Linked DNA regions of Oryzias latipes. The protein of the gene in region 1 binds, or shares a complex with, the protein of each later gene. Links are inferred from orthologs where the notes say so. Each region holds a gene or a part of one and is shown in the gene's direction. Other genes may lie near its edges.

Evidence for each region.
Region 2: ncapg (region 1) and smc4 share a complex: the UniProt entries of both Homo sapiens proteins name them as parts of the condensin complex. The link is inferred for Oryzias latipes from reciprocal best matches to the Homo sapiens genes NCAPG and SMC4.
Region 3: the proteins of ncapg (region 1) and ncaph are in contact, whole or in part, in a crystal structure (PDB 6IGX), measured with the Homo sapiens proteins. The link is inferred for Oryzias latipes from reciprocal best matches to the Homo sapiens genes NCAPG and NCAPH. Residues at the interface, in NP_071741.2 of Homo sapiens: Lys11, Phe14, Arg15, Gln18, His50, Tyr51, Lys53, Tyr54, Val55, Met56, Val57, Glu62, Ala64, Val65, Val68, Phe102, Ser106, Glu108, Ala109, Asn110, Ser111, Val114, Arg115, Ile149, Arg150, Lys152, Asp153, Lys154, Arg159, Glu188; in NP_056156.2 of Homo sapiens: Glu471, Ile472, Asp473, Phe474, Glu475, Asp476, Asp477, Ile478, Phe480, Val482, Tyr483, Phe484, Arg485, Lys486, Thr487, Ala489, Ala490, Thr491, Ile492, Leu493, Gln501, Asn502, Trp503, Ala505, Thr506, Thr507, Leu508, Phe512, Tyr514, Val516.

Annotation. Positions count from the first base shown.
Region 1 is NC_019859.2:13,389,802-13,396,827, reverse strand, and holds the end of ncapg (condensin complex subunit 3), read left to right. Parts: intron 1-531; coding exon 532-651; intron 652-730; coding exon 731-955; intron 956-1,056; coding exon 1,057-1,238; intron 1,239-2,824; coding exon 2,825-2,990; intron 2,991-3,077; coding exon 3,078-3,245; intron 3,246-4,517; coding exon 4,518-4,641; intron 4,642-4,734; coding exon 4,735-4,782; intron 4,783-4,903; coding exon 4,904-4,973; intron 4,974-5,057; coding exon 5,058-5,184; 3' UTR 5,185-5,302; downstream 5,303-7,026. UniProt on the Homo sapiens protein: Regulatory subunit of the condensin complex, a complex required for conversion of interphase chromatin into mitotic-like condense chromosomes.
Region 2 is NC_019871.2:13,487,534-13,495,599, forward strand, and holds the start of smc4 (structural maintenance of chromosomes protein 4), read left to right. Parts: upstream 1-3,846; 5' UTR 3,847-3,890; intron 3,891-3,968; 5' UTR 3,969-4,025; intron 4,026-5,169; 5' UTR 5,170-5,179; coding exon 5,180-5,321; intron 5,322-5,342; exon of another isoform or gene 5,343-5,505; coding exon of another isoform or gene 5,506-5,575; intron 5,576-6,251; coding exon 6,252-6,442; intron 6,443-7,767; coding exon 7,768-7,959; intron 7,960-8,066. Other genes in the region: ift80 (intraflagellar transport protein 80 homolog), read right to left, coding at 22-132, 2,323-2,544, 2,949-2,985. UniProt on the Homo sapiens protein: Central component of the condensin complex, a complex required for conversion of interphase chromatin into mitotic-like condense chromosomes.
Region 3 is NC_019867.2:25,820,275-25,828,263, reverse strand, and holds the start of ncaph (condensin complex subunit 2), read left to right. Parts: upstream 1-3,769; 5' UTR 3,770-3,918; intron 3,919-4,698; 5' UTR 4,699-4,703; coding exon 4,704-4,921; intron 4,922-5,019; coding exon 5,020-5,110; intron 5,111-5,239; coding exon 5,240-5,332; intron 5,333-5,555; coding exon 5,556-5,673; intron 5,674-6,246; coding exon 6,247-6,389; intron 6,390-6,580; coding exon 6,581-6,770; intron 6,771-6,928; coding exon 6,929-7,011; intron 7,012-7,989. UniProt on the Homo sapiens protein: Regulatory subunit of the condensin complex, a complex required for conversion of interphase chromatin into mitotic-like condense chromosomes.

The DNA of each region.
Region 1 (7,026 bases):
TTCTAAAGCAATTAAGAATGAAGAAAAACCTTCCAGTTGGCCAATACTAAGCCTGGTATAATGTAATAAACCAACTACTAAATCCTTCTCAAATTTAAGGCTACATGTTTGACACTTTGAATGTGAATATCCTGGTTTGCTGTAGGGATGCAACGATTCGGTGTGTCATATGGTTTGGTTTTAGGCCTGCTGGGTTTTAACGAGGGTTCGTCAAGTGTGTTTAAAATGTCATTTAAATGTTTGGCCTTCCTTTGACAAACTTATATTTGGTTAACATGAAACCAGATCTTTGCTTAACACATTAGATTTCTTTTCATTTCATTTCTGTAAAATCGAGTAGAAACTGTGATATAAATTGATGCTAAAAGTTCAGATGCTTTAAGGAGAATGACACAAAGGAATCTGCTGGTTCTGTGATTGAGCTGCAGAAGTGTTGATGTGTGAACCCCTCCCTGCACAGAGTCACCACAGCAATACCCCAAAATGAGCTTGAATACATTTGTGAATGTATTTGTGTGTTTTCTTTGTTAGATTTTACCCAGTATAGCAAACGCACACCCTGCTGTCCGCAACATGGCTGTTGTGTGTCTGGGAACGTGCACTTTGCACAGCAAGGAACTGGCTAAAACCCACATGGTCCTCCTGCTCCAGGTCAGTCAGCATTCTTCTGAGCACCAACAAAACTACAAATGTTACCAACTGCACTGAGTTTTCTCCGTCCGTTTCCAAGATCTCCCAACTCGACGAGGTGAAGATCCGCATCAGCGCCCTCCGTGCCGTCGTCGACCTGCTGCTGCTGTTTGGCTTCCAGCTTTTCTCCGACACGGCGTCCGCACAGCCCAGCCAGTCCCCAGAAAAGCAGGAGGAAGAGGCAGGACCGGCTGAGAAGGGAGATGCTCCAGAAGACACCACGCAGAGTATCCTTGTGATGCTTTCAGAGCTGTTGGATAGCGAGGCGAGTTAGTCTGTGTTTTTCTAAAAAGCTCTCTGCCCTTTTTGCACTTTCGACTTGCTCTCAAAATGAACCTATTTGCATATCTGCTCAAACACTCGCAGGTGTCTGACCTGCGCACAGAGGCGGCAGAGGGCCTGGCCAAACTTATGTACACCGGCCGCATCTCCAGCGCCAAGATGCTGACGCGTCTGGTGCTGCTGTGGTACAATCCTGTTACTGAGGATGACACCCGCCTGCGGCACTGCCTCGGCGTCTTCTTCCAGCTCTACGCCCGCGAGAGCAGGTGTGACACGCACACACGCCGAGCTGCGCAGTCACGGCTGTAGAATATTCTCCTAATGGGAAGACAAATGGGGGTTATTTCTTGATTGGCACAGCCGCAGTGATAGCTGTTCATTTAGGCTGTTCCCTTCAGGGTTCACCACGTCAAATCAGCTGTTCCCACCTGACACTGTTAAGTTTTCTTTTCTTTTATTTCATCCACAAATCCCTTTCACTTTTAGGTTTTACTTCCCGATTTTTTTCAGTTAGCCCCATTCTGCGTCATATCTCAGGGCATTTTTTGTAACCTAATATAATAATGAGAAAGCTGACGGAGAAGCTCCAATTTGCCACATCCACAGGGTGTCTTTCACTCATCCACAGTCGTATGCTGCACCCTGTAACGGATCTTAATGCTCTGCAGAACTCTGTTCATGTTTTGTTTCTTTTCTAATGAATAGGAGTCCGTTCTCAAGCCACAAAGAGCTCCCTTTCATTTGCTCAAAGAAGGCAGAACTATCAGAAAAATGTCCTTTGATCACTTCAGTTCGCTTAAAGACTCACTCCGATCATCTTTGGATCTGTTGTAAAAGTGTTCCCAATGCTCTTGTAATCATCATCATACTGGTTTAAGCCAAACTAAAGAAAAAAGCCTGTGTCGTTTTCTAGGACATAGATTCTGCAGAGCAGCAATAGTTTATTAGAAATGTCCATTGTAACAAATATGTACATCGCTTAAGGGGATGTATGAGAATGGAGCAGGGAGCTTGTGGTCCGCCAACGGTATTTTCTACCTAACAAATAAGATCTTTTTCAAACAGCATTTTTTTTTCGTCTGCTGTTTTGTGCTTATATGTTGTCCACCAGGAGAAAAATGTCACAAGAACATGTTAAAAACGGCAAAAACACCATTTACATTTGAGTGGGTCTTTAACATGAGCCAGCTTCCAGAAGCTGCAAGGATCCTTGCTCTGGCACCTGAATTAAAGACGGATAAATAAATGCTGAGAACAAAATAATGTTTGATAGTGCTGCACGACATGAGGAAAACTCGCGATATGCGATATTGGTGATTAATATTGCGATAACGATATAATTTGCGGTATATAAACAAATGGCAAAACAACCAAAAACATCATTTCCATTTCACTGCAACAGTTTAAAAGTTATACTCCAAATGACCCTTGTCGACGTAGGAGGCAAACATCAAACATAAAAGGGCTCATCTGATTGATCAACAACGTAAATGGCTCCTTACGATTGGTTAAATGCATAAAGGGATTTATTTCATTTGTTCACTATTTCAAGCTGCCATGAGATTGTTTTTTAGCACATTTAAGGTAAACATTTATTGCGATTTTCGCCATCTTTTGCGGTATGCATATTGCACAGCTTGATGTTGCGATAACGATAAATTTGCGGTATATTGTGCAGGCCTAATGTTTGATCAATTGCAAAATCTAGTCAACGTTTCCCAAAATGTAGCAAAAATGAAATCTTCCCAGATTTCTGTCCTAGCAGGCTGAACTTGTGCTTCCAGATCAAAGCCGTTTCTTCACACTGAAATCAAATGTGACGGAAAGTTTCTTTCTTTTTTTCTTCTTTAAGAGTTCACCAGGAGGTCGTAGAGGAGTGTTTCTTGCCGACGGTCCGGACTCTCCTGAATGCCCCCGCCACCTCTCCGCTCGCCGAGGTGGACATCAACAACGTGGTGGAGCTTCTGGTTGAACTGACGCGTCCAAGTGCGCTCATCAAACCCTCCAGTAACACAGAGGTAGATGCAGGGACGCCCAATGGAGTCTGCTCAGATGCTAACGGCCCCCACATGTGACTCGTCATGTTTGGTGCCGCGTGTCTTCAGGAGGTCTGCGTCCACGACTACCTGGCGGTGCGCTTGTGTGGCGAGATGCTGAAGGACCCAACCGCCCCTGAGGTTCGCCTTTATGCAAAGACGCTAAGCAACCTGGAGCTGAGCAGAGACAGCACTGTGAGGGAGGACCTGCTGACGCTGCTGCAGCAGCTTGTTCAGGTACACACACCTGTATTTCTATTCATATATTTGAAGGATTCATTATTATTACCTGTAATTAATTATAATCAATTTCCGTAAAAAGCCTCATTTTGAGGTATTTTTGTTGGGGGTGCAACAAATCTCAGTCGATCAATACAGACCATGAATTTCTGCTTCTTTTTTTTTTGGATGCTGGTGTGCCGCGGGATTTTTGTCAGGGTTAAAGTGTGCCGTGGCTCAAAAAAGGTTGAAAAACACTGGATTACATCACATCAGCAATGGATTTTATTTATCACAATTATTTGCAATTATTTAATTGTGATTACTGCAAGACTTTGGGACCCCTAATTTATAGTTTTGGTTTCAAAAGTTGACCCTGACAAAGAATCCAAAGCACATGATCAAACATTCGTGGCTGCAGAAGAAACGTCTGGTGTGGTCGCAACTTTTCTTCTAAATGTCTGAAATAAAAAAGCTTGTTGGGCTACATTTTAGAAACTGTTTTTTTAGGGATTTAACAGCTTTATGTTTTCCAAGCTGGGCTGCACAGTGGTTAGCACTCTGGTTTGAATCCTCACTGGGAGTTTGCATGTTCTCACTCTACATGTGCTGGTTTTCTTCAGGAACTCCAGCTTCCTATCAGAATCCCAAAACATGCTTCATAGATCAAATGCCTATTCTAAATGACCCCTAGATGTGTGTGTGTGTTTGTGTGAGAGAGACCCTGCAACAGACCGGCGTTCTGTTCAGGGTCTATCCCGCCTTTGCCCAACAATAGCTGGGTGGGCTCCAGCAGCCCGTGACAGGTTCTGAAGACAGATGGACGTTTTCCAAACGGACAGTTTGTTCCTCATAACTGACAGCTCTTCAGTTTTCCATTCTTGCAGGACTGGCTGTCGTTTTTGACAGTTTATCGTCATCCTAATCCCACTGTTGCCTCTCCTACCACCATCCTTGTTCACACTCCTCACCGCCTTTGCTGTAACTCTTCCATTTAGCCTCCCTACAAGTTCCAGTTGGCTCAGAGTTAAGCTGCTTCACTGTAACTCCAGCGACCCGACAGGCCCCGAGCTTTGAGTAGAATCTTCCTGTTCACCTTTCAAGCCACGACGTTTCCTCTCAATATCCATGTAAATGCAGAATGGGATTTTTTTTACTTCATGATTGTGAGCTGCATTTTTTATTTTTGTGCTTTCCTCTTGTCGGCTGCATTTCTTAAACTGGTGCGGTGAGTCCTGACAGAGGTGGGCCAGTTTCATGTCTTAAAGCTCTTCCTCCTCTCGCTGTCAGACGGTGAAGGATCGCATTTGCCTGCGTGCTCTGGAGAAGATGATGCATCAGCTGATTGACTCCAAAGAGCAAGCTGAGCTCTTAAGCGCCAGTGCACTGCAACCGCTGGATGTCAACGCAGACGGTGAGAAACTCCTACATAAATCATTTGGGACAAATGGTTGTTTTCTTTAGTCCAAGGTGCAAATCCAGAAATCTGAATTGTCCCTTTCCACAGAAGCAACAACAGACGATCCATCAAAATCTGCCAAGAGAGTCAAAAGAGGTAACATCCTGGACACTCAGCTTTTTGCTGCAGCGTCGTATTTTTAGAGCTCATCTCGTTTACCTGCGTGAAGATGTTGACTCAGTAGGGGGAGGTAACCTGAGCGCGTTTGTCTGCACAGGTCAAAGGAAAGTCTGCACCGCCAAAGGCAGCAGAAAGCAGAGCAGGAAAGCCGAGTCATCAGAAGAGAGGTGGGTTTAGAGGTATTCACCTTCAAAAAAGTGTTTGATTCCCTTCATCCACGCCTGAACTCGCTGCTTTGTTTTTTGCTGCAGCGATGGAGAAAACGTTCCTGAGTCCGTCCCTACAGCACGTCCATCAAGGAGGGCGAAGAGCGCCGCGATGGAGAAGACCAAACTCGACCTCAACCCCCTCCTCAATCAGGAGGCCAATGTGTCATGAAACCCTTTTCAAGCTTTTTCTTTTTTTGGGCAGATAATCTTGTTCCTGTGTTTTCTGCAGCATCTTTTCATAATTTCAGCTCGAGGTTTTATCAACAATAAACTTAATTTTGTCTCCATCTTTTTAGTTTCATGGTGGACTAACAGATGAAACATTTATCAATCACCACTTCCAGAAAAATTTGATCTAGAATGAGCATCAAGAGTCTAGAAAGTGAATTTCAAACAAACTAAATGTATTCTGAAGTCAGCTGTACATGATGCCTAGATTTCAGTTAGAAAGTTGAGGAGGAATCAAATTTCAGTCATAGGTAAATAGAGCGGAACAGCAGTAAATCATTTCAATCAGTTCTCCAATGTGAATTCAAAACATCCGTTCATTTTTATACTTCCCTGTTGGGGTCACATGGTTGCTGGAGCCTATCCCAGCCACTGTGGGGTTAAAATTGAGACACCCTGGATGGTTTGCCAGTCCATCGCAGGGACATAAACCCACATTCATACCGAAGGACAACATAGATTCCATAATCATCCTATGAAGCATGATCTTAGACTGTAGGAGAAAGCCCACACAGGCACAAGGAAAACATGCAAACTCCACACAAAAAAGAACCCAGCTGGGATTTGAATTGATGCTACAACAACCAAGCAACCTGAACTTAAAAAAACGCATAGTTAAAATATTCCAGACATCATACGTTGCAAAGTATTTGTAAGTTATTCAATGGGCTACGAAATAGAAACTGAAATTAATGTTAAATTATGTTTGGAAATATATTTTTAGAGGCAAAAAAACCCACAAACTAGATCCACCAATTTGTATAAGACAAGCACAGAGACTGGTTTGATCCTAATTACAGACCCAATAAAGTTCAAAGAAGTGAAGTGAGAGGCTGGTTTCCTCCTCTTAAATGTCGCACAGGAAATGACACATTTTACTTTAAAAAACACCTTTATTGATCAAGTCACAGAGCTCTTTGCTGCATCTGTAAAGGGTAGTATAAAAATGCTCCAAGAGAATATTACAACAGATGATTAGCACCAGGTTCTTCCAACAAAGGTCAACTGTTAAACGTCTTTCATGATGACATGGCAACCATAATTGATGCACAGAAAGGGACATTCAGGCACAACACTCACTACGGGGGAAGTTTTGACCCACAAGCCAGACATTTGGGATCTATCAGAGCAAAAAAGTAGCATATAGATCCAAGATTAGCGTTGAATTAGTTAAATATCCGGCTTCAGCTACGACACAACTGATAAGCAACAGCAGTGGATCTAACAAAGCCCCAGTACAGGGTATAAAAAAAACAGAACATAAAACTTTAATAATGCGAAAAAAAGAATAATGCTTCAATCAAAATTAGTTTTTTTTTTTTAAGGAAAGAAAAGCGGATGAGAAAACTGATTTTTAAAACAGATTTTTTTTTAAACCCAGAATGACTTCATTACAAAAAAAGAAGTACAGTAACATCCCAGGCCATTGTGTACATCCATTCGTCTGTCAGCAATCAAATCATTTTTTACAAAATGATCAATCATCTGGCTTTCTATTGCACCAAAGAGACGTTTGTGTTACAGAAGGGATCGGTATTGGGGCATGGGATGTGCAAAACATGGGATGGGGTGGGTAGTGGGATTATTAATCTCAAATGGTATAGTGCAAGAGGTCCGTCTGTCTGCAACATACAGTAAATGCTAGGGGTTAACAGGAAATACACCCGACAAATACAACAGAACCTATTTTTCTAAAACCGCAGAAAGCCACTTCATTATTCAACACGCATTTCGAGCATTTTGTGGACTACTGAGACCTAAAAAATGGGGGAACACACTTTTA
Region 2 (8,066 bases), on another chromosome or scaffold:
ATGCGTTAGCGACATCCAAACCTGTAACAAGAGCAGTTCCATCGTAGTTCCATCTTCCTGCTAAGACTGCACCTTTGTGAGCGTCAACACTCTTCTCAATGCGCCCCATCTTGGAAACCAGGTGGAACTTTCCTTAAAAACAACCAAAAAAAAGAGTTGACTTTATTGTGACACTATTCTTCAGTCCACGTTTGCCCTGATGCAGACGAGTACGATCTAATGACTCTGTCCAAAACTGATTAATGCAGTGTTGCACCAATACATCTTTAAATGGGAGAACAAAATGAATTAAGTCAACATATTAAACAGATGAGCAACATACATTTGTCAAAACAATGTTTTAAAAGCACACATTTGAAAAAGAAAAAAGGAAAAACTGCAGATCCAAAATAGTTACTTGCAATTAATAGATGAATAAAGAAAATCTTTACTTTAAAAATACTTCAAATGAATTAAATTGAAAATTCCAGATATGTAACCAGGGCTGCAGGACTGTAGCATGAAAACGTTTCTTATAGATATTTGAGAAAATGCTAAAGATCAATAACAGACTGATCCTTTTGCTAAATGTGTCAGGGCTCACAGTAGTTCAAAAAATGATTGTCATGCATTTCCCTTCTCATATTTCATGTAGTATTTATGGCAACAGCTATTTGTCTAGCTTGTGTAAACTATACTAAAGAAAGCAAGAGAAAGAAAGTTGCAAAAGGGAATCGCAACGAGTCTCTGGCATGCCAAAGTAAATTGCTGCATCCGTTTTGCAATTCAACACTGCCATTAGAGTTGTGACCACATATTGCCTACCACAGCAGTCCAATCATGCTCTTATGTGTTCATATCTACCGTAACATGCATGACACACCTTGGCACTGTCTGGATTGTTGCCTTTAGTGACAAACCAAGTCATCCAAAGGCAAATGAAACAGTATGGTATCCTCAAACTAAGGAATACAGAAATTAACCATTGTGTATTTACCCAAAAAGTATGAAAATTACTATCATTTGCTCAAAGTAGGCAACATCAAAACATCTATGTTGCATCATGAATGACACTACACTAATTTTTGCACTAGTTGCGCTGGAAACAATTTATTAAGTAATGAGTGCAACTGCGGATTCTCACATCTTTATAAAAGTTGAAATGTTGAAATAAATGACTTCTATGGGGTTCCTGAGGAAAACTGTTGGTAAGAAGACAACTGACTGCTACTAATTATATAGTTGGTAACATTTTTAGGGACATAATCTAACAAAGCCCTACGACAACCTGTCCAGGATGTCCCCTGTCTTGGCCCACGAGTGGCCAGGATAGGCTCCAGCAGCCACATGACCCAGAAAGGGACAAAGCAGATTTAGAAGATGAATGAGTGAGTGAATGAATGAATGAATGAATGAATGAATGAATGAATGAATGAATGAATGAATGAATGAATGAATGAATGATCTAACAAAAAGAGCATCTAGGAGAGGCAGGGCTCACGAACCAGTAGAACTGGGATTAAAAACAATCTGAATTTCAGAATATCCTTGCAATAAAGTTATTAAGTATTTGAATATCTCATCATCCAGCAAACACAAAATCATTTCTGTAAAAAAGATAAAAATAAGATAATGATTGCTAGATGCCCGGGATCTTTGGGTTCATTGGTCGAATTACAGAACAGGTATGATTCATGAAGGAACAAATGTAAAAACCGATATATAGGAACATATGCTGTCAAAAAATGAAAAGGGAAAACTGTTCACAGCAGTTTGGGTTTCAAAAGCAACATTTTTTCGTGTAGACAAATTATTATTTACACCTGACGAATTCAAATTCAACATCCATAATGATGGAAGCAGCAGAGATTTCTGCAAAAAAAAAAAGTTCACGTCTCTAAAAAAATTATATTTCAGGCAGAGCAACTTTTTCTTCTACCCACAAAACTTCTTTAGCATAAAAAGTCTTGCATCTTTCAGGAACATAATTCTAATCAACATGCAGTTTCGTCATAAAAGCATGGGCACTGAAAAAAAACATTTTTTGGTTTTGGCCAATCATCATTGAAACGCATCTGGCACATTGCGAAACGGCAAATGGAATTTTTATGCAGTGAAGTCCAAGTTTAATATCAGATAAAAATGCATTTTATTTTCATGGATTGAAGTTTAAAAAAAAGAGTCACAGCATGGCTGGTTACTTAAAACTTTTTACTATCCTGCAGTATTTTGTAAAATAAATAAATATATTTAAAAACGGCTGATTGAGTCTTTCACAACTTGATATGGACATACTGTTCATTTGCTTTTTAAGATGCAGAGTGGGTTTTATAAAATACTTGCCATCAGTGCTGGTGAGGACAAAGATTTCAGCTTGGGTTTGTCTCTTCCCACCAACAGTTTTGGGGAACCAGTGCATGTCCAGGGGGTAGATGTCCTCTGACAGCTTGACGACCACATTGGTTTCATTGTTCACCAGGTTCCACTTGAGGATCTGATGATCATCACTGCATGAGTACAGCTCATCGGCTGTGGTCCAACCTAAACAACTTACAAGATCCTTATGTGAGCTGGTGTTAAGAAAAATAATAAAAAAAAGGACAAATATTACAAATTCAGCTGATTGCATGTTTTCTACATAGATACCTAGAATCTGGAGAACCTGCCCCCAACCCCTTTATTTATTTTATTTTTTGTTTGTTTTGTTTTGTCTTCATTTTTTTCAGTAGAAAATGCAAATGACAAGGTTTATCATTGCTGCAGTGGTTCTTATCAGCAGAAATTTATTTTAGTTTGCAGAAATGTAGGACAGAAAATAATTTAAAAACAATCTTAAATTGAAGAACAGCAATAATACTATTAAAACGGGAACGTGAAATGTCACAGTTTTCAAAATATTTTGCCATTCAGCTCAAATCAAAGGCAATAAGTTATAAAACAAGAGGGATCACGATGCAATTAAAGGATATGTTTTGGTTCCTTCTGCAGCGTAGTTTTTAGTCTCATTGTTCTTGTCTCTCTGTTGAATCCTAAACAAACAAAACACACGTATGTCAGTTTTGAATCAACTCTTAAGTCAAGCTTAACATTAGAGGAAAATCCAACAAAGAGAGAAAATGCACCAACACCAAACAAGCGTCTAGTTGCTATGTTACCAGGCAGCCACTGTAGCTAACTAACTAAAATCATTACCTTTTAAAATCGCACGGGGGGCATTCTGATGACCGCACTTCTTTTATGTGCCTCTTATCAATGTGTGAAAGTCATTTGATATAGTTCGAATATTCGATACAAATGAACCAGGTCAAGCAGCGTTGATGAAGAAGCGTTTTGTTTTCATGACGTATGGAAGCTAACTTTTTAGCCATGAAATCTCGGATGAGTGAACGGTTGACAGCCAAGTCATCGCGAGAGTTGTAACAATTTGCAACCTCAGCGTGTACTTATAGAGGGTTTACTTTTTGAGTGACTAATACAAATTCATTCAGAAAATGATCTTTAAAGTAGGCTTGCGTTATTACTGAATAATGTGTTGATGATCTCGGTCACTTCCAAAAAATAATATAAACGTTTCCATGGGGCGGGACTTTATTTTACAGTAACCGAATGATTCGACAGTACTGAAAACACAACTCTTTTCTTAAAAGATATCCTTACTCAAAAAATGAAAATCGTAAGTGATGTCTTTTTATGAAATTGTCATTTATCGCTTTGTTACTGTTGCGCCTTTCTTATCACTGGTGGAGCGAGGCGGAGTTGGCTTCGTCCCCTTTTTTGAATTTTGTGTTTTTTTCACACTACCATTTGAAAGGTCCATGATGCTTTGCGAGAGTTTATAACGAATTTGGTTCGACGGCGCAGTTTAGGCGCCATTTACAAGACAAGTTTTTCGAGAAAGGAAGCGGCTCCGGGTGATACGGCACACGATTTTGTGGACTATTTTAGTGTATTTTTTGCTAGACCTTGGATTAACCTATTCTTCTTGAAAGGTTTGGACTGGATCGAAACAGAAAATCAGCGAAGGACTTTTTTTTCATTTGTGGAAGGTACATGAAGAAAAAATAGAAAAAAAATATTTACTGGGTTCCGTCTATTTGCTGAAATTCATAGCGGTCGTTGAAATTGAGACAAACCTTTAAGTAAGCCACAAATCCAACTATGTTTTAAAATAAAGTAAAAGGAAAAAATATAGCATTGGCAGGACATTGATAGTGTTACTACTACTTATTGACTTTTTTTTAGCGTTTTTTAATAATTGCAACAATAATGGATTCTTAACTTAAGCCCCTATAGCATTACTGTTTATATGTTTATTACAACCTATACCAGTTAAAGGTGGTAATATGTCGGTCTGCTCTGTGATGCTAAGTTTGACATAATGATTAGTTAGCACCCCCCCTCCCCCCTGCTAACCTAACTATTAGCCGAGGGAAAAAAAATCGTAGTAACTTTTAATGCGACATAGTCATCCGGTAACAAAACGATTACGAAAACATTCTTAAATCATGCTGCATGTACTGTAGGTTTGGTTAGTTATTCGAATACATTAACAAATCGCGTTAGATGGCCAACTTCAAATTATCATTCCGCCCTGAACATTAGAATTCAGGGACTGAAAGCTAGTTTGCAAGTTCGACTGTTATCTGTTGAGCTGCGCTTTCAGTAGTGGTCATCATAGAAAACTAGCAATTCAAGGCTCGACACGAATTTCTCTCCCTCTTTTTCTTTCTTTCTTTTTTTTTTTTTCAAATGGGTGACGTAAACTTTATTTTCCTTTTCGTTGTTACCCACCGTTAAACGTTAACGGTTAAGGCCAAAAAGCATTTTTCCAAAGTTTTGTAGTTGGCTAGTTTGTAACATTTTTTTACGGGGATTTGTTTTAAAAGCTAACCTTTTTTTGATCCTAGTAGTGTTAAGATGAATAAAAATCGCTGTAACACACTTTTCCATGTTTTTGTTTTTAGCAACTATTTAAACTTTTGGAAGGAAAAAACAAATAATAAACACAATGGTATATTATTAGGAAGGGCGGCAGTAAGATTTGACTGGTAATGGCAAACTCCTGACACATTAGTTGTGTGTGACTGACCGTAAAGTGGAGTTGAGAGATTGACAGACACAAAAACCACTCATGTGTCCCCCCCCCCCCCCCCATTTATTTTTTTATTTTTTTACCAATGACCCCTTTAGATTTCAAATCATGCCATCCAAAACCGCAAAGAGCTCAACCGCCTCTACCAAGCCAAGAGGAAAAGGGTCGCAGGATGTGTCTGAGGGTGATCTGGATGTACCCCCTCAAGAAACTAACTCCAATGGCCAAGAGGAGGCACCACCGACAACTGGCAAGTAACAAAGGCTGTTTTGGTGTCTGTGAATCTAAATAAGTTGTTCAGTCAATGGCTCTGCGTGTATTGCAGTATTGCTAGAGGCCAACTGGCACAGCTGTAAAGCTCCTTCCCCTCCTCTATCTTAAATTGAAAAGAGTAGCTGGGATGGCTGAGACGTTTTCTAAAGTGCAACATAGAAATGAAATCACTCCAGGATGATTTTCATATCGTCGAATGCATTTCTTCGCCCGATCTTGACGGCAAACGAGGTAATTTGCTTCGAAATGGTGTGTTTTTGTTGTGACGTAAAAACGGGATTTGTATTCATCATGCCTGCAACTTTTTTTTTTTTTTTTTGAACAGCGCGTGTGCTGCTCTCAAGATGCAATTGTTGAAGTTCATTGGTACATGAATCTGTTTAATAATTTTTTTTCCGCTAAATGTCTAGCTGCTATACTTTATTTTTGAAACACCGTCAATTCTTTTGTATATATGAGAACACAAAAGATTTTGAACCGATTCTTGAAGATCGTTGTAGATCTTCATGCAGAAAAGTTTTTCCTGTCTGTATTTCATTTAGCTGGGTGTAGTAACGACGTCGCTGATATAAACGCACTTCATTTATCCTGGAGGTGTCCGTGGCGCATCAAACCGGAGAGAGACTGCGTTTGTGAGCACTGATGTGTGCTCGTTCATGTCCGATCCGAGGCTTGACTCTTGCTTTCTGAACAAAGGGGGAAAAAAACGACGCCTGTCAACTTTCCCCGGAGTCGCTTGTCTGTCTGTGCGACTTGCCGACTGTGTTTTTGTTTGTTTGTTTTTGTTCTCCCCCCACCCCTCCCCCATGGGCCACTGTCCCGTCCCTATTACCCCCCCCCCCCCCCCACTCCCCACCTGAAGCGATTCGCACAGAAAAACTGAAAAGTGCCCTTTTCTGTGCCACAGATTCGGCAGAAGGGGAGGCTGCCGAGGCGGTCGATAATCGAAGTTTGGAGGAGATTCTCGGTAGCATCCCTCCACCCCCGCCCCCAGCAATGACCAATGAGCCGGGCGCTCCCCGCCTGATGATAACACATTTAGTGAACCGCAACTTTAAGTCGTACGCAGGCGAGCAGATTCTGGGGCCTTTTCACAAGGTACGACCAAAACTTGATTCTAATCTACCATGTGTCCTGAATATATTTAACTATGTACTTAGATTACATTTAGTGCAGTGACGTGCGGTGAGGTTAATGGCTGGTGAGGCACTGACGTCATCAGTCAGATTTACAAACATATGAACCATACTGATTAATTTATTCTCCATTTGATTGACAACAGTTAAGGTGTTTTGTTTAAAATATCATTTCAACATGTTTTTTTTCATATACAAAACGCAGCATAGAAAAAAGCACAAACATTATTATCGTCTTACCTTTACTTGTAACTAAAGTCCATACGCCGCTCTTTCGGAAGAAAATGACTTGCCGCTTGCTATCACTTATTCTATTATTTTTTTAGCGTCATAATCTCAAGGCTCACCGGCGCCCCCTAACGTGAGGCACGGGAACTTCTGGCCTCACCCAGCGGCTTTTTCGCCGGCGTTTAGCGCTCAGCACAAGAAACACGTCCCTCACATACAGTTATTTATAAAAACAAACACTGTACATCATATACATCTGCTAAATTATGCAAACTCAGCTCATACAGTACAAGTGATTGAACCGACATACAGAGAGACAGCAGTACCGTCTGACTGCATAGGTATTGCGCAATCCAAGGTGAGGCTCAGCGGGCTGGTGCCTCATCGCACGTCACTTCTTAGTATCTGAACGGCAAATGCGGAAATTCAGCGATTTTGAAAAGAAAAAACACCCAAAATTGGTACATTTAAATGGAAAATGACTGCAAAGCACAAATTACTGATTAAATATAATAGTTGAATTTATTTTTTCTCTTTTCTTCCCATGACAGGTGAGGCACAGCCTCACCTGCCTCTCCTGACTGCACGTCACTGATTTAGTGTAACTGTTACTATCCAAGTCTTATTCATTTGATACTATTTTTTTTCTTGTCTGAAATCTTAGGTCACCTTTCTAATAAATGTGTCTTATTGAAATCTATAAAAAAATAAGATTATTAGTAAAAATGTTTAGAGAGAAAAATCCTTAAAAAAAGAGGAAGAAGTCACACTCCTCCATTTTGATTTAGTGTTTCTCTCAGTTTCTGAAAATCTACTGGTGTAATCACATTTAATGAAACTTTTTAAATGTTTTTTTCTTTAAAAAAAATCTTTTTCAGTCGCCTCATGTCCATGCAAGTTTCATATTGCTAAATTTAAGTGTTTAAATCTATATTAGACTTGTGTGTGGTGTCATCGCTGTTACTGACAGCTGTTGTTGAATCTTAATCTCTTGTATGTTTCATATGGATGATGCATTCATTTTTATTTATTTATTTTTGTCTCCTAATTTCTTCCCAGCGCTTTTCCTGCATCATTGGTCCAAATGGAAGCGGCAAGTCTAATGTGATAGACTCCATGCTCTTTGTGTTTGGATACAGAGCTCAAAAGATAAGATCAAAAAAGCTTTCAGTGTTGATTCACAGCTCTGATAAACACAAAGATGTGCAAAGCTGTACTGTGGAGGTGCATTTTCAAAAGATCATTGATAAGGTATACAGATATTTATAAACACTTTTTTTTTTTACACACAAATACAAACTTCACTAAAATGATCAGTTTGTTGTTCAAACAAACAAAAAAAAAATCACCAGAAATAT
Region 3 (7,989 bases), on another chromosome or scaffold:
ATCCAAATGGTATTTTCCAATATCAATACAATGGATTTCTTTTATTTTGAAATGATTTTATAATGGTATAGGTCGATTCGATTAACAACTTGCATCAGACAGATTAATCAATCTAGTTGGATGGTAGGAATATCGACCTAATTAATCAATTAGGTCGATTAATTGTTACACCTCAAACATTTGCATAATTAACACATTACTGTTTAAAATGGTTTTTTAAACTTGATAGACTAAAGCAGGGGTCGGGAACCTATGGCTCGCGAGCCATATATGGCTCTTTTGATGGTCACATGTGGCTCGCAGACAAATCTTTAATTATACTTTTTTTTTTTCATTAGACCAGTCCTTCTCGGGCGCTGGGCGATGCCAGAGGCGCGCAGTAGTAGCGGTGCTTGGAGAGAAATATCTGCGCCAGCACCATCAGTTTACTATTATCTATTATTTCACAGAGTTTGTACCAGCCGGAAACCTGTGAATTGCCGTGCCTAAAACTGCGCGCTCCCGTCTCTGAGAAAGAGCGCGCAGTTGCGGGGACGGGATGTTAGAGGAAGAAAGCAGAGGGGGGGGGGGGGTTGTGGGGACCGGCAGCAGGTGAATCGCGCAGGGATTGTAAAAACGTAAAGCCCGCTGCCCGTCACTCACTGCAGCGTGTGAGTGTGTGTTTGGCTCCCCGTCTGCATGTGATCAGTCTGTCTCACATCTACAGAACATTCAGACCTAAGATCACGTTTAGAGTCTCAACGCCTGCATGAAGCAGAAACTCACCACGTATCAACCAAACTAGACCATCAGCAGAACTACCACGAGAAATACTCATTTATTAGCAACAGCATAACAATGTTATTAAAAAGAATCCACAGACCTATTGTACTTTAAAAATGTTGAAATTACATCAAATGCACTCATTCACTTGTATATTTAGTTTAAAACATATTGTAGCGACCTGGGGGCCTTCAGCCCCTAAGGCTCATGGGAAGTGGGGAGCTTAGGGTGAAACCTTGAGTCAGAGGGCTGGAAGCTGAAGTGACCCTCCATGCTGTTTGGGCTGTATGTGTGCTGGAATAAACAGGCTTGTTGCTTAAAAGCTAATATTGCCTCTCTCTATGTATCTTCCAACCTGAGACTGTCCGGAGTCGTGCGGTGTATGGGGCACGGACAGCTCTCCATTAGAACCACTTCATGAGCAGTTGGCTTTCGCTACCCCACTAAAGTGACGGTCCGGCCGGATCGTTACAATATTGTCGCGGACTGAGTTTAACTTGGCTGTTGGGCCGGATTATAAATTCTGTTCATTGAACACATCATGCAGAGATCTGATTGGCTCTCAGTTCTGTCGCTCAGCCTGTTCTCAGGTAGTTTGGACCAATGGGGTTCAGCTATGGGCGAATAAGGGAAATAGGAGGGCTGGAGCGGGAGGGGGGGGGGGGGGAGTTGGGAGGAGTGCTCTCGTGTCGGCGGGAGAGATTCAGGAGTTGATGAACTAATTGTACGGCGTTTGTTGCGGTCTGTAGTAACCAGAATAAAGAACCTTAAAAGAGGTTAAGTCTCAGTGTGGGAAAGGGACACTACAATATTGTATGGCTCTTTCGAAATTACATTGAAAAATATGTGGCGTTTGTGGCTCTCTCGGCCAAAAAGGTTCCCGACCCCTGGACTAAAGGGTTAGTGGGGTTCTTTAAGAACTGCTGGCTTTAGCGTCAAATAGTCTAGCCAGAGACTAAAGGCTCCTGCACGAGGCAGGAAGTAAAATGTTTATGAAAACACACACAGACATTTATCTCATAACGAAGAGCATTAGGTCTGCAAGTGTAAATAGAGAATGTACACATGACCTAGTATAAACACACTACTCCTGTTTTTCTTCCTGCTCCTAAGAGAGGTCCTCAATTAAAACCTGTTTTTAGATTTTTTGGTCACATCATCCTGAATGTTCCTGTCACAAATAAGTAAATTTCAAAAACACTGATGTTAGATAATCTGTGTGATCACTAAACAACCCAAAGGTGCCTAAGGTCCTTTTACTGTCAGGAGGTTGGAAACATTAATTGTAATAGGATTAAAAGCTGTGGACATTTAAGACATCTTATCCAGAAAACCTAATGTTTTTAACTTTTGCTCTTGACTTTTACAGCCTTATTCACAGTGACAGCCCCGACCTTGAACCATGTTCTATGCCAAGCATACCTAAGTATCACCCAACCCAGCACTTGATTATGGCCTGCTGCTGTAGTCTGCTCAATAACCCTGTCCACACACTTTTCTGTGCTCTGTAATTTCATTAAAAGCATTGGAGCAGTTCACTGCATATATCATCTCCCACGACATGAATGCCACCTCTTCCTCATCTCTGCAGAAAAAAAACTTTGATACAACATAATTAAGCATCCCTTCTTTGCACACAACTAGTTTAAGACTTGCTTAAACTGTACTATTATAGTCAATCGTAGCTAATATTCAGCTATTGCATTATACATGGCTTTATTATTTCTTATCAAATAAAAATAATTATTGTGATAAATAAAGGAGCAAAACTGGGACTTGAAAATGTCCTCATTAGCAGCAACAGTGAGAATCAGTCAAATGTCCTTTTTGTATGCAACTATCTTTAAAGCATTTACTAAAAGGTCAAATGGGTTTTATTTGCTTGGCAAGGCTTTATGAAGACTTGTGCATATGTACATTCATGCATATCTATGTGCGACAATTTAAGCCTAAATGCCATAGCCATACATCACACTAAAGTGTCTCTCTCAAGAGCAGAAACCCAATCAACGAGCTTTGCCTTTACGACATCTCGACGCACAGCAGGAACCAAGGATGATTCTCTGCTTGGGTGTTACTTGGCTGTAAATTTGAAATTTCTAATATTTCCCTTTGGTGCCTAGAATACGCGAGCATTACACAGAGGAATGCTCCACAGAGGAGTCACAGTCATGTCTGTTTAATTCACATGTCTTATCTACTCTCTCAAGGGCTTCAACACTTTGGGACAAAGAGATGACGTAAATCTCTGCTCTCTGGGTTCTTGCTGTGCTTTGTTGATAGTCAGAATTGAAGAAAAAAATGGTAAATGTAAATAATAGCGCCGGAATGAAAAAAAAAACATGAGTGTGGGAATACACCTCCAATTAAGCTGCACTTTCTTGTGAAGACTTGCAATATTTTATATTTTTAGTTTCAGAAGTTACTGAATCATTTCTTTCTTTCTTCTTTTTATTTTTTTGGCCACCTTAGATTTATAGTTAGTATGATTGCTGAACCTAACCCGAGAAGTAAAAATAAGGTCTATCTGCAAACTGAGTTCACACAATATTTACAATGTTGACATAGAACTGCTGTAGTATGGTCTTTTGGTATTTAAGGTTTACTTTTAGTGCCATCTAGTGACCAGTCACATTGTTTGACTGTCGCCTCTTGCCTCAATAGTTTCTTTTCATCTTAAAGACCGATGAGGGTTTTATCTAATTCAATATTTACTCCACTTTAAAGATACACTATCAAAATGTTGTATTATTCCTACCTTAAAAAACTCTGTTCTAAGAGAAACTTGATAAAATTTGCAATGTAACTGTGCAAACTGTATACTTTTTTGCAAAAGAAAAAAAAGATAAAGGATACTAAAATGCTGTCGTGAAAAAATAATTTTTTCTTCATGTTTACATGAAGTAAAGTCTTATTTTTTTTTTTTTTTTTTTTTTTTACATGAAGTAAAGTCTTGACAGAACCAATTCAAAGCCCACGCTCGTGGGCGTGGCCTTGCGTGATGACGTTGAGCTTGGAAACGTAAACCGTTCGGCGCAAAAATTCAAACAGAGCAGGAAAGAAGGCTGCGTCTGGCTTTGTTTCCATTAACGAAAAATCTACCATTAAAGCTCCGCACCGGGACAGCGATATTTTTACACGAGTTGGTGGAATCACGTAAGTCTTCTCCTATCAATGTTTGTGTTTTGTCTGTCTGACATTAATGAAGAAGACGCACACACCGAGGCTAAAAGTTTAGCTATTTTGACTGTACAGTTAGCCCATGCTACGTTAGCGTGTACATCGCTTTGCCAAAACACTTCATTCTACTTCTACAAAAGGGGATTTTCAGTGTAACTACAATGTTTTAGTCAAAACTACACGGAAACATCCTTTTGTGCACTCAGTCATTCAACTAAAGAACGATGAAATATTTAATTTATTTGTCAAAAAAACAATTTGACCACGCGAGTATCCCTCTGTTTACATCGTTCTTTCTTGGAGAGGACGTTACTAAACATTTGTAAATACTGTATTCAGTAATATTTTCCTATAATTTTCAAACAGCATAGCTTAAAAAATATTTAGGGAAATGGATCTCTATCTGATTAGGTAAATCTAAATAAAGTTTTTAAAGGTTGACATCCTTTTATTTTGACTTTTCAAAATAAAGTTTGCTGCTTTCCCCCCAAAATAAATGTCAACTATTGTGCAATATGTTTCTTACCATGCAAATCATCACGTCATTTGTAATCTTACATTTATTTTTTCCAATTCCTCGTGTAGTTTTTAACATTCACCAATAAAAAGTAAATCAGTCCAAAAAAAGTATGAAAACAGATCACTAGAGTATTTCTTTTTTCTCTCTTTTAACATTTGCTTTAAAATTCACTTCTCAGTTTTTAACTCATTCCAAACATGTTTTTGTTTGATTAAAAACGTTTTCTGCATCTGTAGCTAAGATGAGTGCAGCCTCCACACCTGCATCCCGAGTGCGTCCAGGATGGCCGTCATCTTCTCTGCAAGGCAAGGGTCTGTCTCCTGCGGCCTGCAGCACCCCGCTGCTGTCAGCCTTTCCAGGCAACGACGATGAGCAGGAGCGGCGCCAGCGCAGGAGGTCAAGGGTCATTGACCTTCAATCCGCCACAGATTCTTCCTTCACTGAGACTGCATCTCACAGGTAAGCTGTTAACTCGTACCTGTGTACATTATCATCCGCCTGAGTGCTGTTAAGGTTTGTTAAATTCGGGATGCTCATATTTTTGTTTTCTAAATCAGTGCTTTCGGGACTCCTGCTGCTGTACCGAAGCTTTCAAATGCTCAAATTTCAGAGCACTATTCAACCTGCATAAAACTTTCTACTGAGAATGTAAGTTTTTGGGTAGTGTTCATATGCAAACACTTAAACTTTATCAGGCATTTTAGGAAGTCAATATCTGATTAATGGAAGCGGTAAAATAAATATCCTTTTTTCTATTTTGTTTGTTTTTTCCCCCAGAAAATCACCACCAAAAATGCTTTTGGTCTGCATTTGATTGATTACATGGCGGATATTTTAAAGCAGAAGGATTCTGAGCTCACTAACTTTAAGGTTTGTGTAATCCAATTACTTTTTTGCCTTTAAAAAGAAATCACCACAGTCTGTCCCTGTACTTAATGTATTAAACATAGACTTGTATCATACAAGAATCATGACATCACTTGTTATTTTTTTACCCATTTAAAGTTAAAGAACAGCCTTTGGTATGATTTTAATGTGGACTCCAGAATATGCCTTCTTGTGCTCCATTATTGACATTTTGTTTTTTGCAAAGGTGGCTGCTGGCACTTTAGATGCCAGTACAAAGATCTATGCTGTGAGGGTGGATGCTGTTCATGCCGATGCATACAGAGTGCTGGGGGGTCTCGGGGGTGAGACCAAACCAGGAGAGGGTGAGATCTGCAGCACACTGTGCTGCATCTAGGCCTGCACAATATACCGCAAATTTATCGTTATCGCAATATCAAGCGGTGCAATATCCATATCGCAAAAATCGCAATAAATGGTTACCTTAAATGTGCTAAAACAATCCTATGGCAGCTTGAAGCATTTAACGGATCAAATAAATCCATTTATGCATTTGACCAATTGGATGGACCCTTTCCGATGTTGACCAATCACATGAGCCCTTTTGTGTGAGATTTTTGCCTCCTACGTCAACGAGGGTCATTTGGAGTATAATTTTTTTAAACCGTTGCAATGAAATAGTAATGATGTTTTTGATTGTTTTGCTCTTTGTTCATATACCGCAAATTATATCGTTATCGCAATATTGATCACTAATGTCGCCTGTTTTGCTCATATCGTGCAGCCCTAGCTGCATCATTTTCCAAATAAATCTTTTTTCACTAAGGTTTTTTTCTTCTTCTAATAAAATTATGGCTAAATGTTTCACTTCTCATTGCTTTTGTCCAAAAATGCAAAGAGTGAGCATTATCTGGTTTTGTCACACCATGAAACTGCAGCTCGTGCTGCAGAAGCAGGGAATGAGGATGACGATGGGGAGGAGGTGACTGCAAAGCAACCAAAGAAGAAAAGGCCTCCGAAGAAGACGGTGGAGCAGAACCTGAACAACATCAACAGTTCTGAATCTGAGAGGAAGTGTGAGGTATGGTGAGACGCCTTCCCTTCCATACCGTTTTCAAATATGTTAGACTTGTTGTTGGCATCAAATATCATCTGGTTGTTACAGAAACAAGTTTTTGTTATGGTTGTCTTTTGAGTTCATCTTTTTCCTGTATAACTCTGTTCTGTTGTTGTACTTCTTAAATAAGATCACCGTTGTTGTTGCACATCCAGGTGGACCCCATGTTTCAGCGGATGGCCTCATCCTTTGATGAGACCAGCACAGCAGGTGTCTTCTTGTCAGTTTTATTCAGCGAGAACAGTCGCTGTGAGCTGCTCTTTCCCTCTCACCTGATTCTGCTGCAGTCCACACCATCATACTCTCCTCCAGCTCCACAGAGCACACCAGCATCCCCGTTCATGGGTAAATCTCATTTTTCAGACGGAAGGATGTGGTGCTTTTATGCCAAATACTAAAATTTGTTTATTTTTCCCTTTATGTTTGCTTTATTTCTACCTGGATGCCAGTTATTGACTCTCTCTTTTTAAAACGTTCATTTTTCTTTTTCATGTTTCTGGCAGCTGGACTGCAACGGTCTCAAGAGAAAAGCTCCATCTGTCCGTCATTACAAGACTTTTCCTTTACCAGTTGGAACCCTGAGCAGGTCAAAATTGTTTATAACCCAAAAATGTATTAATCTAAAACTATTAATCATAATTTTAATTGGGTTATATTATTTAATTGGGTTTAATTATTCCAGTTTTTGTTGTTTTTTATATATTGCCTTAGTATTATTACAGTTAACTGAATTTTTCAGAACAAATGCAGTTTAGCCAGTCTTTTATTTATATTGCTCTCAATAATACAGACAGAACCTTAAGACAATTGTGCAAACACAACTTTCCTCTGATATTCTTGATAGAAATGAAGCTCATGTATGGAGCCTGAACAGGGGTGTCAAACATACGGCCCGCAGGCCTTATCCGGCCCGCCTGGTGGTTTAGTCCGGCCCACACATGAAGAGTAAAAAATCATAAGGATGATTAAAAAAAAGGAAGCAAGTTTTTAGTCCATTCCTGTGGCGAGTTATGATTTTTTTTAAAGAAATAACCGAAATGTGCAATTCCACCACTAGGGGGAGCAAAGGAAAGGAAAAACAGTTGAAACAGCATATCTCTGCACGTGCCAAAAGCGAAACATAACAGCTCTGCGTCTGGGTAGGATGCACCTTGGTTCCCTATGAGCCTTACCGCTGTTATCTTGCTATAAGGATGATCATTAGCGACACCCTAACGACCAAAATGTTGTCAAAGGTGAAGTGGAGTGAAGAGCCTTCCAGGAAAAATGGACAGAGTTTTTTCTTTCTTTCACGAAGCTGAATGCAAACCCCAAATGCTTTATATGTCATCAACATCGCAGTGCTCAAAGAATATGACATTCAGCACCACTAAGGGACTCACCATAAAGAAAAGTTTCTGGATTGCTTCAGTGTCAGATGTAAAATATTCAGTCTATTAATTTAAATAGACCAACTTTTCTTTAATTGAAATTAATTTTATTTGAGATCCAAGTGATTAGGCTACTATGTTGATTGAGGCATTTTTTCCAACTGAGTAAAAAACTAAAACAAAGCTGTTATTTT